Linked DNA regions of Drosophila melanogaster. The protein of the gene in region 3 interacts with the protein of the main gene of each other region in a pairwise test. Each region holds a gene or a part of one and is shown on either strand. Other genes may lie near its edges.

The links.
Region 1: the proteins of d4 (region 3) and PolE4 interact in a two-hybrid assay, tested with the Drosophila melanogaster proteins (one large-scale study listed by BioGRID).
Region 2: the proteins of d4 (region 3) and Hsp67Bc interact in a two-hybrid assay, tested with the Drosophila melanogaster proteins (one large-scale study listed by BioGRID).

Annotation. Positions count from the first base shown.
Region 1 is NT_033778.4:22,410,250-22,413,138, forward strand, and holds PolE4 (DNA polymerase epsilon subunit 4), read left to right. Parts: upstream 1-1,539; 5' UTR 1,540-1,604; coding exon 1,605-1,785; intron 1,786-1,839; coding exon 1,840-2,126; 3' UTR 2,127-2,333; downstream 2,334-2,889. Other genes in the region: qkr58E-3 (quaking related 58E-3), read right to left, coding at 62-147, 290-379, 438-802, 863-984, 1,044-1,200. UniProt on the Drosophila melanogaster protein: Accessory component of the DNA polymerase epsilon complex. Participates in DNA repair and in chromosomal DNA replication. Has a role in cell cycle progression. Required for wing morphogenesis.
Region 2 is NT_037436.4:9,370,955-9,374,140, reverse strand, and holds Hsp67Bc (heat shock gene 67Bc), read left to right. Parts: upstream 1-1,643; 5' UTR 1,644-1,823; coding exon 1,824-2,423; 3' UTR 2,424-2,630; downstream 2,631-3,186. Other genes in the region: CG4456 (uncharacterized protein), read right to left, coding at 697-751, 820-979, 1,046-1,166; Fdx1 (ferredoxin 1), read left to right, coding at 3,123-3,186.
Region 3 is NT_033778.4:5,292,312-5,296,498, forward strand, and holds d4 (d4), read left to right. Parts: upstream 1-1,751; 5' UTR 1,752-1,953; coding exon 1,954-2,401; intron 2,402-2,485; coding exon 2,486-2,752; intron 2,753-2,804; coding exon 2,805-3,583; 3' UTR 3,584-3,654; downstream 3,655-4,187.

The sequences.
Region 1 (2,889 bases), about 17 Mb from region 3:
ATCTTATGTCATAGACCCCGGCACTACCCAAATAAAGAATGCATGCTTGGGATTAACTTACGTTTGCTGTACTCATAGCCCGTAGGCGGACGCTTGGGGGGCATACGATGTTCATACTCATAGGCCACCTCCTCCACATCGTCGACTCTATAAAAATGAAAATGTTAATTGCTGGGTTAACAGATGTTGGCTAGGATTTAAGGCACTACTATGACGCGAGGACTCTCGGTTCCATTACTCCTGGTGGGGTCATTAAATAATACAAAATTATACTTTACAAGTAACTTACTCGGGCGGATTTTCCGCAGCTCTCTTAATCAGGTTGATGTATTTGGGAGCCCCATTGCTGTTGCCTCCAAACTTCTTGTCGAAGACAGATCTGCAAAATAATATATTTTTATTCTCATGCCCAAAGGCTGCATAGGGTGTAAGATTACCTGTAGGCCTCCAGATTCGGTCCGTGAATGTTTTTGGCTGACTCGGGATCCATTTCCATCAGCTCGCGCAGCTGTTCGTGTGAAACCTCGTCGTTCTTGTCTGGAATAAGATACTTACGGATCTCGGCCAGAGCGTAGGCTATGCGGGCATAGCACTCCGCCGGAGTGGCCACCGTGCTGACCTCCAAAAATAGGTCCTTCTGAAGATGAGCATATCTCGGGTCGCCTGTGCTGCGCAGCTGCTCTTCTTTGTTACGATCGCGGATCGAACTGCGACCCTTAATGGCAATCTTGCACTGGGTCTCCTCCTGAAGGCGACGCAGCGAATTGCCCTTGGGCCCCAGGATCTTGCCAGTGAAGTTGAACTGCGCAAGGGTACGGATTTATTTTTCGAACGGAGAGGACAGCTAATTGTATAAACCCACCTTGGGATACTGCTTTACGGGCACGAAGACCTTTTGGGTAATCTTCATCGGCTTCTGCTTGTACACGTCTGCGTAGAACTCTTTTCCGGGAATACGACCAGTGCAGTAGACACGGTCCACAGCTGCAATATTGGGATTAGTACCATTAAAATACCCTGTAAAAGGGCCAAATTGATTTTACCCTCGTCGATTAGCAGTGCGCAAAGTGGAAAGTCCGCGGACAATCGCTGGCGCTCCTCGTCCAAATCGGCGAGAAACTTTTGGGCCACCTCGTTAAGACGCGGCTGGTGATCGTGGGTGGGTGGCTGTTTCTCAGTAAACTCGCTTGGGGTTTCCATTTTTATCATAACAATCTTTACAGAAAATTACAATTAAAAATGGTGTAGACTGAAAAACAGTATGTACACCAATGAACTAAAATAATGGCAGAGCTGCCAAGCGTGTGAAGTTTTCGGGCTGCCAACTTTTTTAATTCAATAGTGATTGTTTAAATGTCGATTTTTTCCACTGTGTACAAAATGTCGTGTTTGAAACACAGAAGTAGTACAATTACTATAGATTATTTTAAAAAGTTAAATCTGTTAGTAAGGAGCTTCGCCGAGAAGATAGCGGAGCTGCCACCATTTCGATTTCATACATGGTGCAATATCGATATTTTTGGCGGCTGCCTTGATACTCATCTCTAAAAATATGGTATTTGGATTGCATTCGCTTGGTTTGTTTTCAATTTTTATAGTGCGCAATGGCCAGCGAGGAACTATTTGAGGCTGAATTCTCGGAAGAACAGGACTTGGAGCATCAGCAGGCCATGGAGACTGAGGAGGCGGAGCTAGCGGAAACAGAAGAGCCTTTGGAAATCACCGAGGAATCGCCGGATAATCCTGAGGCAGAATCTACAACAGAACAATTGACAGAAAAACCAGGTAAGTTAGATGCACTTAGATAGAATTTCTCCTATATGGCTCCTTTCCTTCCAGTGACGAATGGCAACAAGGCCCCTGCTGATAACGAAGCCAAGATGACACAACTGCCGTTGGCCAGGATACGGAACATAATGAAACTAGATCCGGATCTGCATATGGCCAACAATGAGGCCGTGTTCATAGTGGCGAAGGCAGTGGAACTATTCATAGCCTCGTTGTCACGGGAATCATATACCTACACGGCGCAGTCCAAAAAGAAAACCATACAAAAGAGGGACGTGGATATGGCCATTTCTGCTGTGGACAGTTTGCTATTCCTTGATGGAGCCATGAACTTTTGAACACCCCCACAAATGAAACTGGATTTGTCGATTATACTTTTATACTTTATTTAGGGATATTCAGCGGCAAACAAATTCAGTTCTAAACGTCCTTATGGTTTTATGTTAAAAATAATATTTAAGTTATAAAACAATTGTTGATTCGCAAAGAAAAAAAAACAAAAAAGAAATCATAATTATAAACGACAACGTTTAACGTTTCACAATACTCTTTGCTATTCGGAATTTGTAACGAAGCCGGCATTTGGTTAATTTATTTAACTGCTGAATAGTGTGGTTTGTTGTTTGTTAATCATACTCTGTCCGCAGGCGATACTTACTTTGTCGTTGGGCACATACATTTGTAGTTTATATTTTGCTTTTTATGTTGGTTTTATCTCCATTATCTTATGAAACAATATTTTCAAGCTTAGTCTAAAATTATGCTTTGATAAATTAATTGTTTTGGGGGGGTTTTCGCTTGTGTTTAGTTCTCTTCTCGTATTGGCTTTAACTAGTATTAGGTTGATTGAAGTATGTCTTTTGTTTTTACAATCTTTTTGAGGATAAAATTTGTTGCATTATTGGTTTCTTGTTTTAATTTTAAACACAATTTGAATATCGGACAACAGTTGCAATAAAAATTTACGTTTTTTATTTGATTTTCGTTTATATATTATATTTAATAGGTGTGAATAGTTGGATTGTTGACTTCAAACATTTTGATATTTCGTTGGAATATATTTTAATCTTTACGCTTAACATTGTTTAGTTGTGGTTGTTG
Region 2 (3,186 bases), on a different chromosome or scaffold from region 3:
TTTAAATTTTTCCTCTATGTTTCGAAGATAATCTTGTTGTCTGAAGTTTCAATCCTATGAAATTTCTATTTAGCTGGCGAAATTTTAATTTAGTTGACTTTCTTCGAGTTGTTAGCAGTTGGTTTGGTTTTTTTGAACTGAGAGCGCAGTGTCCAACCGGTGGCTATTTATACTCTTGGCAGAGAGGAAATCCATATAATCTAGAAAATACCGGCACTCTCTCGAATTTTCTTCGCCCTTTGCTGATGCAATTTTCCACTTTGCCTGAAATCGGGCAATGGCATTTAGTTAGGGGTTGTTCACTGTTCTTTAGCGAACTCCGTGGAAGTTTCTGGGGCTCTCTGGGTGTCCAAATATTACTTTATTTACCTTTTATTTTAGCATTTAGCGAAGTTCTCTCTCGCTGTTGCGCCTTGGGGAAGGTCAGTTTCCATACGCAGAGAGACAGATTGAGAGAGCTCCATTAGAGAGTGGGAGAGAGAAAGTTTTGTGGGAGTGCACAGCTTTCTGAGTGCGAGTGTATACGTGTGTGTATTGATAAGCTTGCCATGGGTGTAGTCAAGAACTTGAGATATATGAAAAATACAGCTTAATATTAACAAATAATTAAAGTTTTCTGTTTTTTTTAGCTATTAATAATTAATTAATTAATTAATATTAATCTTCATTTATTCAGAAATATAGCGACGTTTATCGTCAAAGTCCCTCCTTTTGAGCCCATTCATTCCAGGAGCCTTTGTAGATCACCACACTAAAATGAGCATACATATATGTATCCGATATAAACTATTGCAACTATAATACAATTTTAAAACTCACTTGCTGTATCCCTGACTTTTGGCAATTTTCTCTGCTTCCAAGACTCGATTTCCCGACCGGCAGGTGAATATGATTGGCGACTGCTTCTCCGGCTTCGATCTTCCGTACTTGTTTTTAAAAGCAGATCCATCCAGATTTAGAGCCTTGTCCAGTTCATCCACTAAGTAAATAAATAGTAATAAAACACATAGTAATAAAGCAAATACTAGGGAAAGTAGTTTATTACAGGGTATATTGATGCTGGCTGGAATGAAGCCCGTCTGCTGGAGCTCTTCCTTCCGTCGAACGTCGATAAGATACACATCCGGATGGTTGGGCACATCCTTAACCTGTTCGTACGTGGCCATTGTAGTTATGGGGCGGAGCACGAATTTCAACCGGTTCGCCAGCTGAATAACAACTGACTTGCCAGCTGGGCGCAGATGATCCATTTATGAGGTTCAAGATTAAAGATTCGGGTATGTACATATGTATGTGCGTACTTGCTTATCGCATTTTGATTATCGTGGTGTCGTCTTGTTTGTCCAGCTGACACTGGAGATTGCGCCTCTCATCTGTATCCGATTTCACTTTGAATTTGAAATTAAAATCTTATGGTATGATCTCCAATACAGAGCTTGCTATCTGCACTCATTTTATACATACATACATACCTTATGGCGGATCACATATAACAGTTTACAGTCTACGAAAGCTTGGCCCCCAGAAGGTTCCCAGTTGTCTCCCTAGAATCAACGAAACAACGAGTTGCTGCTCCAGAAAAGCTCTGTGGCAATGGGCAAAGCTCTTCCGTCTCTATAAAAGGGCGCAGACAAACCGTTAAACTCCACATTCGAGTCGGAAAAGTCAAGGTGAATTGTGCGCCAAACTGCAGCTGAGATTGTGGATTCCACCACCCGCTGGCAAATCAACCCCTTGGATACTTTTTGAAAGGAAAACAGGTCGTCGGTTCAACGAACCTCCTTCCGCCAGATACACAAAGAAGTTAAGCAAAGAAAAGTAAAATGCCAGATATTCCCTTTGTCTTGAATTTGGACTCCCCGGACTCCATGTACTACGGCCACGATATGTTCCCGAATCGCATGTACAGGCGATTGCATTCGCGGCAGCATCATGATCTTGATTTGCACACCCTGGGTCTGATTGCCCGGATGGGTGCACATGCCCATCACCTGGTGGCCAATAAAAGGAACGGAGAGCTGGCTGCATTGAGCCGCGGTGGAGCCTCAAATAAGCAGGGCAATTTCGAGGTCCATCTGGATGTGGGACTCTTTCAGCCAGGTGAACTGACCGTCAAACTGGTCAACGAGTGCATTGTGGTCGAGGGAAAACACGAGGAGCGCGAGGACGATCATGGACATGTATCCCGGCATTTTGTTCGCCGCTATCCGCTGCCCAAGGAGTTCGATTCGGATGCCATTGTTTCCACTTTGTCGGAGGATGGAGTTCTCAATATCACGGTTCCACCATTAGTTTCCAAGGAGGAGCTCAAGGAGCGCATCATACCCATTAAGCATGTGGGTCCATCGGATCTCTTCCAGAATGGAAACGGTCATAAGGAGGCCGGTCCGGCAGCTTCTGCTTCAGAGCCAGAAGCCAAGTGAAGAGCCCCCTCCTAAAGATTGCAGCCTAAGCAGCCAAGTGATTTCCCAAGACTCTCGTTTATCGTTGCACCAAAAAAAAAGTCAAGAAAATATCGCACAAATCGTATTATATTTATTAATTTATTATTAGCTACATTTTAAACAGTCCAATCAAATTTTAAGACTAATCGAAATCCAGTATTAATAAAGGAATATGAATGTCTCAGTAATCAAAAGACTTTTACTAATATTTAAGAGCTTAATTCATATCAAAAAGCACGAAATCCAATTTTGGGTACAATATTAACTTTCCTTTGTTCGATTAGACAGGTATTAAAAGCTGTGCATATTAAAAATAGGTCCCCGGATGTCAATCCTACTTAAAAAAGCTTTGGTTAGCCTTTTCCCAGGTGCGATTGAGTGAACTTTTGAACTTTGAAATGAAAGCCCGCCATAAGTGTAATTATCGATAGCTTTTAGTCATCTTTCCAAAACTATCTATCGAAGTAACAGTTTTTAACAAGTGGTAAGTCAACGATAAATTTAATAAAAGAAACTAACATTTAATTACACAAAGTATATATATTATTTTTAAAGTTATTTAGCAGATGGAGTACATTATAAACTAATTTATTTTGTTTGGGATTATAATCTGAATAATAAAAACCCGTGACATATTGCATGTTGCCCATCTCCAGCTGGCACTGTAACCTCAAAAAAATGTTTTGTTTACTTTTGCGCCGCTCTGCAGTTCATAATTCCTGCAAATTAATCAGTAAACAGA
Region 3 (4,187 bases):
TAATTGAATTTCACAATGCAGTGGAATAATTTCAGCATAAAGCTTTTATCAAAAGTTCAGAAAGTGTCAAAGAAAAGCTTCTGGCCGAGGTTGATTGGATTAGGATTCAGAATTTGAAGATCAGTCTGATTCGGGAGGATTAAAAGAACGGTTTATTAGTGTATAAATAGATAACAATAAGTGTCTTGTAATAAAGTGATAAGTTGAAAAGTTTAACACCAATAAAAATACTAAAAAATAAAAAATTATTTTTTAAAATAATTTATACCGCAAAAAGTTAATTTACATATGTGAGGTTTGAGGCCAAAATTTTTTTCGGCTGCTTTTCATGGCGGGCCCCTGTGGTTGGCTAACTCTTTAGCGTGGAACTCTGAGGTGCTTAAAAATACCGTTTTTTCATTTTCACGGTACTGCACATAGAATTTTGTTTGTTTTCGTGCCTGCCTTCGTCCAGCGTTCCGCCTTTTATACACTCGTTGAAAGTATCCAAGCCAAAATCCCGCCATTCTGGTCTCGATCAGTACTTTCCACGGATACAGACGATTTTCCGATTATTATCGCTACATTTTGTTGCCCAATAAATGATCCTGGCAACTTTTTAATATACACTTACTGGTACGAGCGTCCAAGAATAATCCTGATCTATAATTCTTAATTTATCAGATCGGACACGTTTACTTTTTTTTCGCATATCGATAGAAATTTACAAAACTAACGGAAAAATATACAAATATCAAAACATTTTTTTAATATATTAGCCTGGCAGTCTTAAGCAGTTTGTGAATGCTTCTGGATCTGCATGCTTAATCTCAACCTTATAGCTTTAATAGTTCCTGAGCTTTCGACGTTCATGCGGACGGACATGGCCAATTCAACTCGGCTATTAATCGGATCAAGAATATATATACTTTATGTGATCAGAAACCGTTCCTTCGGGTTGTTACCTATTTTTTAACGAATCCAGTGTACCCTTTTAGTCTACGAGTAGCGGGTTTAGAAATGGAGCAGATGGTATCCTTGTCAAGGAAGTTTGCGGTACAATTTAATGAGATCCAACGCCTATGGTTTAACTTCTGGCGAATGATTGATCTTTAATAAATTTATATCTAATGTATACAGACTTTAAAACTTCGATTTAACTATCGACCCCTGCGGTGTTGATTTCGTGTTTTAAATGTTTTTGTATTTGTTTTAATACACTTGCTATACATCTACATCAAAAAATTCAAATAGAATTGTCAAATTCAAAACGACTGAATAAATTTCACCAGTGTGAATAGAAATAAAGAAGTGGTTTTCATGAAGAGGGTTATGTTTATCATTTTCATCAATATGGCTAAATTGGATAAATAACATATATTCTTAAAAAAAATTTTGAATAACTATTTAAAAGTCAAACTCAGTACATTTTGAACATGACTAATTCGAGACGATATGACCAGCCGTTAAGCATTAAGAGACTTTCACACTCCGAAAATTCTCCTTCAATGCGATAAAAATTCGGAATTAAAAAATATAGCATCAATGGTATAAAAACAAAAAAAAATAAATAAATTCTTTTAATGCAATGTTTATTTCTTAGCACTGGATCAAGAACTTTTGCTACAGAACTTATTGTTAATGTTAACTTATTGTTACGTATCAAGAAGTTGTGAATTGCGCATTAGGGAGCACTTGTGGAAATAACTTATTATAACTATGGTCGAGAACTTTGATATACATTTTGTATCTATTTTAAAATAGAAATACGTTCACACCTTTTCTAAATATTTAATTTTGTACTTCTTGCCTAGTGCCCCATAACAATTCTATATTTTGTTATTTGTATCAGCTTGAATTGTGTGTGAAGAAACATAAATTTTATCAATGACAAAAAAATATGTTGACAATTTAGCTCTTTAGTTTAGCTATTGCTTAACCAAATAATTCCTGCGGCTACCACTCGGCATCAACATGGCTTCCAAATCTGCGTACGAAAAAACTTTGGTAGTAAACATTGCCAATTTTGAAAAAATTCAGAACTTTTTAAATGACAAGGAAAAGTACAAGGAGATTCTAGAAAACAGCGAGAATTTCAACACTCGTCTATGCATTGAACGTCGACTTCGCATGCCATTCCTCGATCCCCAGACAGGTGTCGCACAGACACATTGCTCCCTCTTTATGAAAAAAAAACAGCGAATGCCAGGTCTTCGACATGGTCAGATATACACTTATCCATCGTCTCGGTGGCGCAAACCAAAACGTCAGTACTTACTTAACCCGAATCAAAGTTTCCGAGCCTATCAGTATCGCGAGCACAACCTTCAGCACTCCCACCATCAAACGCATCAGCATCACCATCATATACCTTCGTCTGGCGTTGCTGTACCACAAAATCCTCACTTAGCTGAAAGCGCAGGTAAAAAATTGCAGCTTATCGTCGGATGAAAGTCAATATTTTATACATCTGACATTTATATTTATTATGGGTTTTTATTTACAGCCATTGCTGCTACGGATGGCAACTCCATGGGAGCATCAGGAGATAATGATAGTAAGGACTCACATGCAAACGTCGAAAAAGAATGGTTCCACGATGAAATGGACACATCACATTTTCATCATGGCGATGAATTTGAGGATGACTTTGATTCAGATAACGATTTTGATGAGTCTTACACCAGCCGGGGCAAACGCAAAAAGTGTTCGCGTCCTAGACGAACAAATGCAAACGTAGAGGGTACTCCCAAACGGGGACGTAAAGGTGGTGGTGAGTACAAGTTTATTAAGCTGATGAATTGTAAACGTTATTGATACCCTAGGCAATCGTCGAAAGAACGCCGTTGAGGGAGAATCTGATCGAAAACGTAGAGCCGGTGGAAATAGTGCAAATACATCCGCAGCCGCAGCGGCAGCTGCCGCCGCTGTCGCACATGCAGCATGTACTGCAGCTGCTGTCGCTAGCACTGGGCTCTATGCATCTCATTCCAACTCAGCTTCGCCTATTCCCATAAATGACGACAATTCACAGTCAGGACTCATACTGCCAACAAACATATCGTCGTCGTACGATAAGACTTCAAGCGATGCTGGAGCTTCCAATGACTCAATTCCCCTAGCAACAATGGTTGCCATAAACGCGGGCCTGACAACCTCAAATGTTTGCAATGCGCATCCGGTGCAAACAGGAACAAATCAAACGGTGTTTGCTACTGGTAATAAGGTCAAACAACGTGTAGAACGTGACATAGCGCAACCATCACCTTATTGTGACTTTTGTCTGGGAGATCAACGAGAAAATAAAAAAACCAATATGCCCGAAGAGCTAGTATCGTGCTCGGACTGTGGTCGTTCCGGTCATCCATCGTGTCTGCAGTTCACGGCAAATATGATTATATCGGTAAAACGTTATCGTTGGCAATGCATTGAATGCAAGTACTGCTCCATCTGTGGGACCTCTGATAATGACGATCAACTTTTATTTTGTGACGATTGTGACCGGGGATACCATATGTACTGCCTGTCACCACCGCTTGTGACTCCACCAGAGGGTTCTTGGAGCTGCAAGCTATGCATGGAGGAGTTCCACAAGATTAAATAAGCTAATAAGCTACATTAATAATTCACCAATTATAAGTTAATCTTCTCATAAATATAAAAAACGTACATTTTACTTGGTTTGTTGAATTTTTTGGTCTTCTATTTTTCTTTTTATGCGCCTGTATGGGTTTTATCAGTTTTGGTTTAAGTAACCTAATTAATTTTTACACAGGTAAAGACACTTGACTAGCAACATATATCGAGAGTTCAATTGATAAAAATTATATATATATTATTGTGTAGTTTGGCGAAATTAAAGTCTGCTAATTTAATCCTCGCTATTTTTATTTTTTATTATATTTTATAAATGTTTCTTCTGTGTGCTTTTTGAATTACAAAGTGGCCAAATTAAAAGGAAATATAACCGTATAACGATTAGATTCGTTGAAAAGTATGTAACAGGCAGAAGAACGCGTTTCCGAATGTATAAGGTATATATATATGTTCTTGATCAGGATCATAGCGAATCGATCATGAACTATAAAAGCGCAAGTTTGTTGACCCATATTTTATTGTTTGTCTTGTTAATTTCTGTAGGTATTCCAAAAAACACTTTGGCCACGCCCTTCCTTTAACCATCAAAACGCCCGAAAACGTTGATTTAG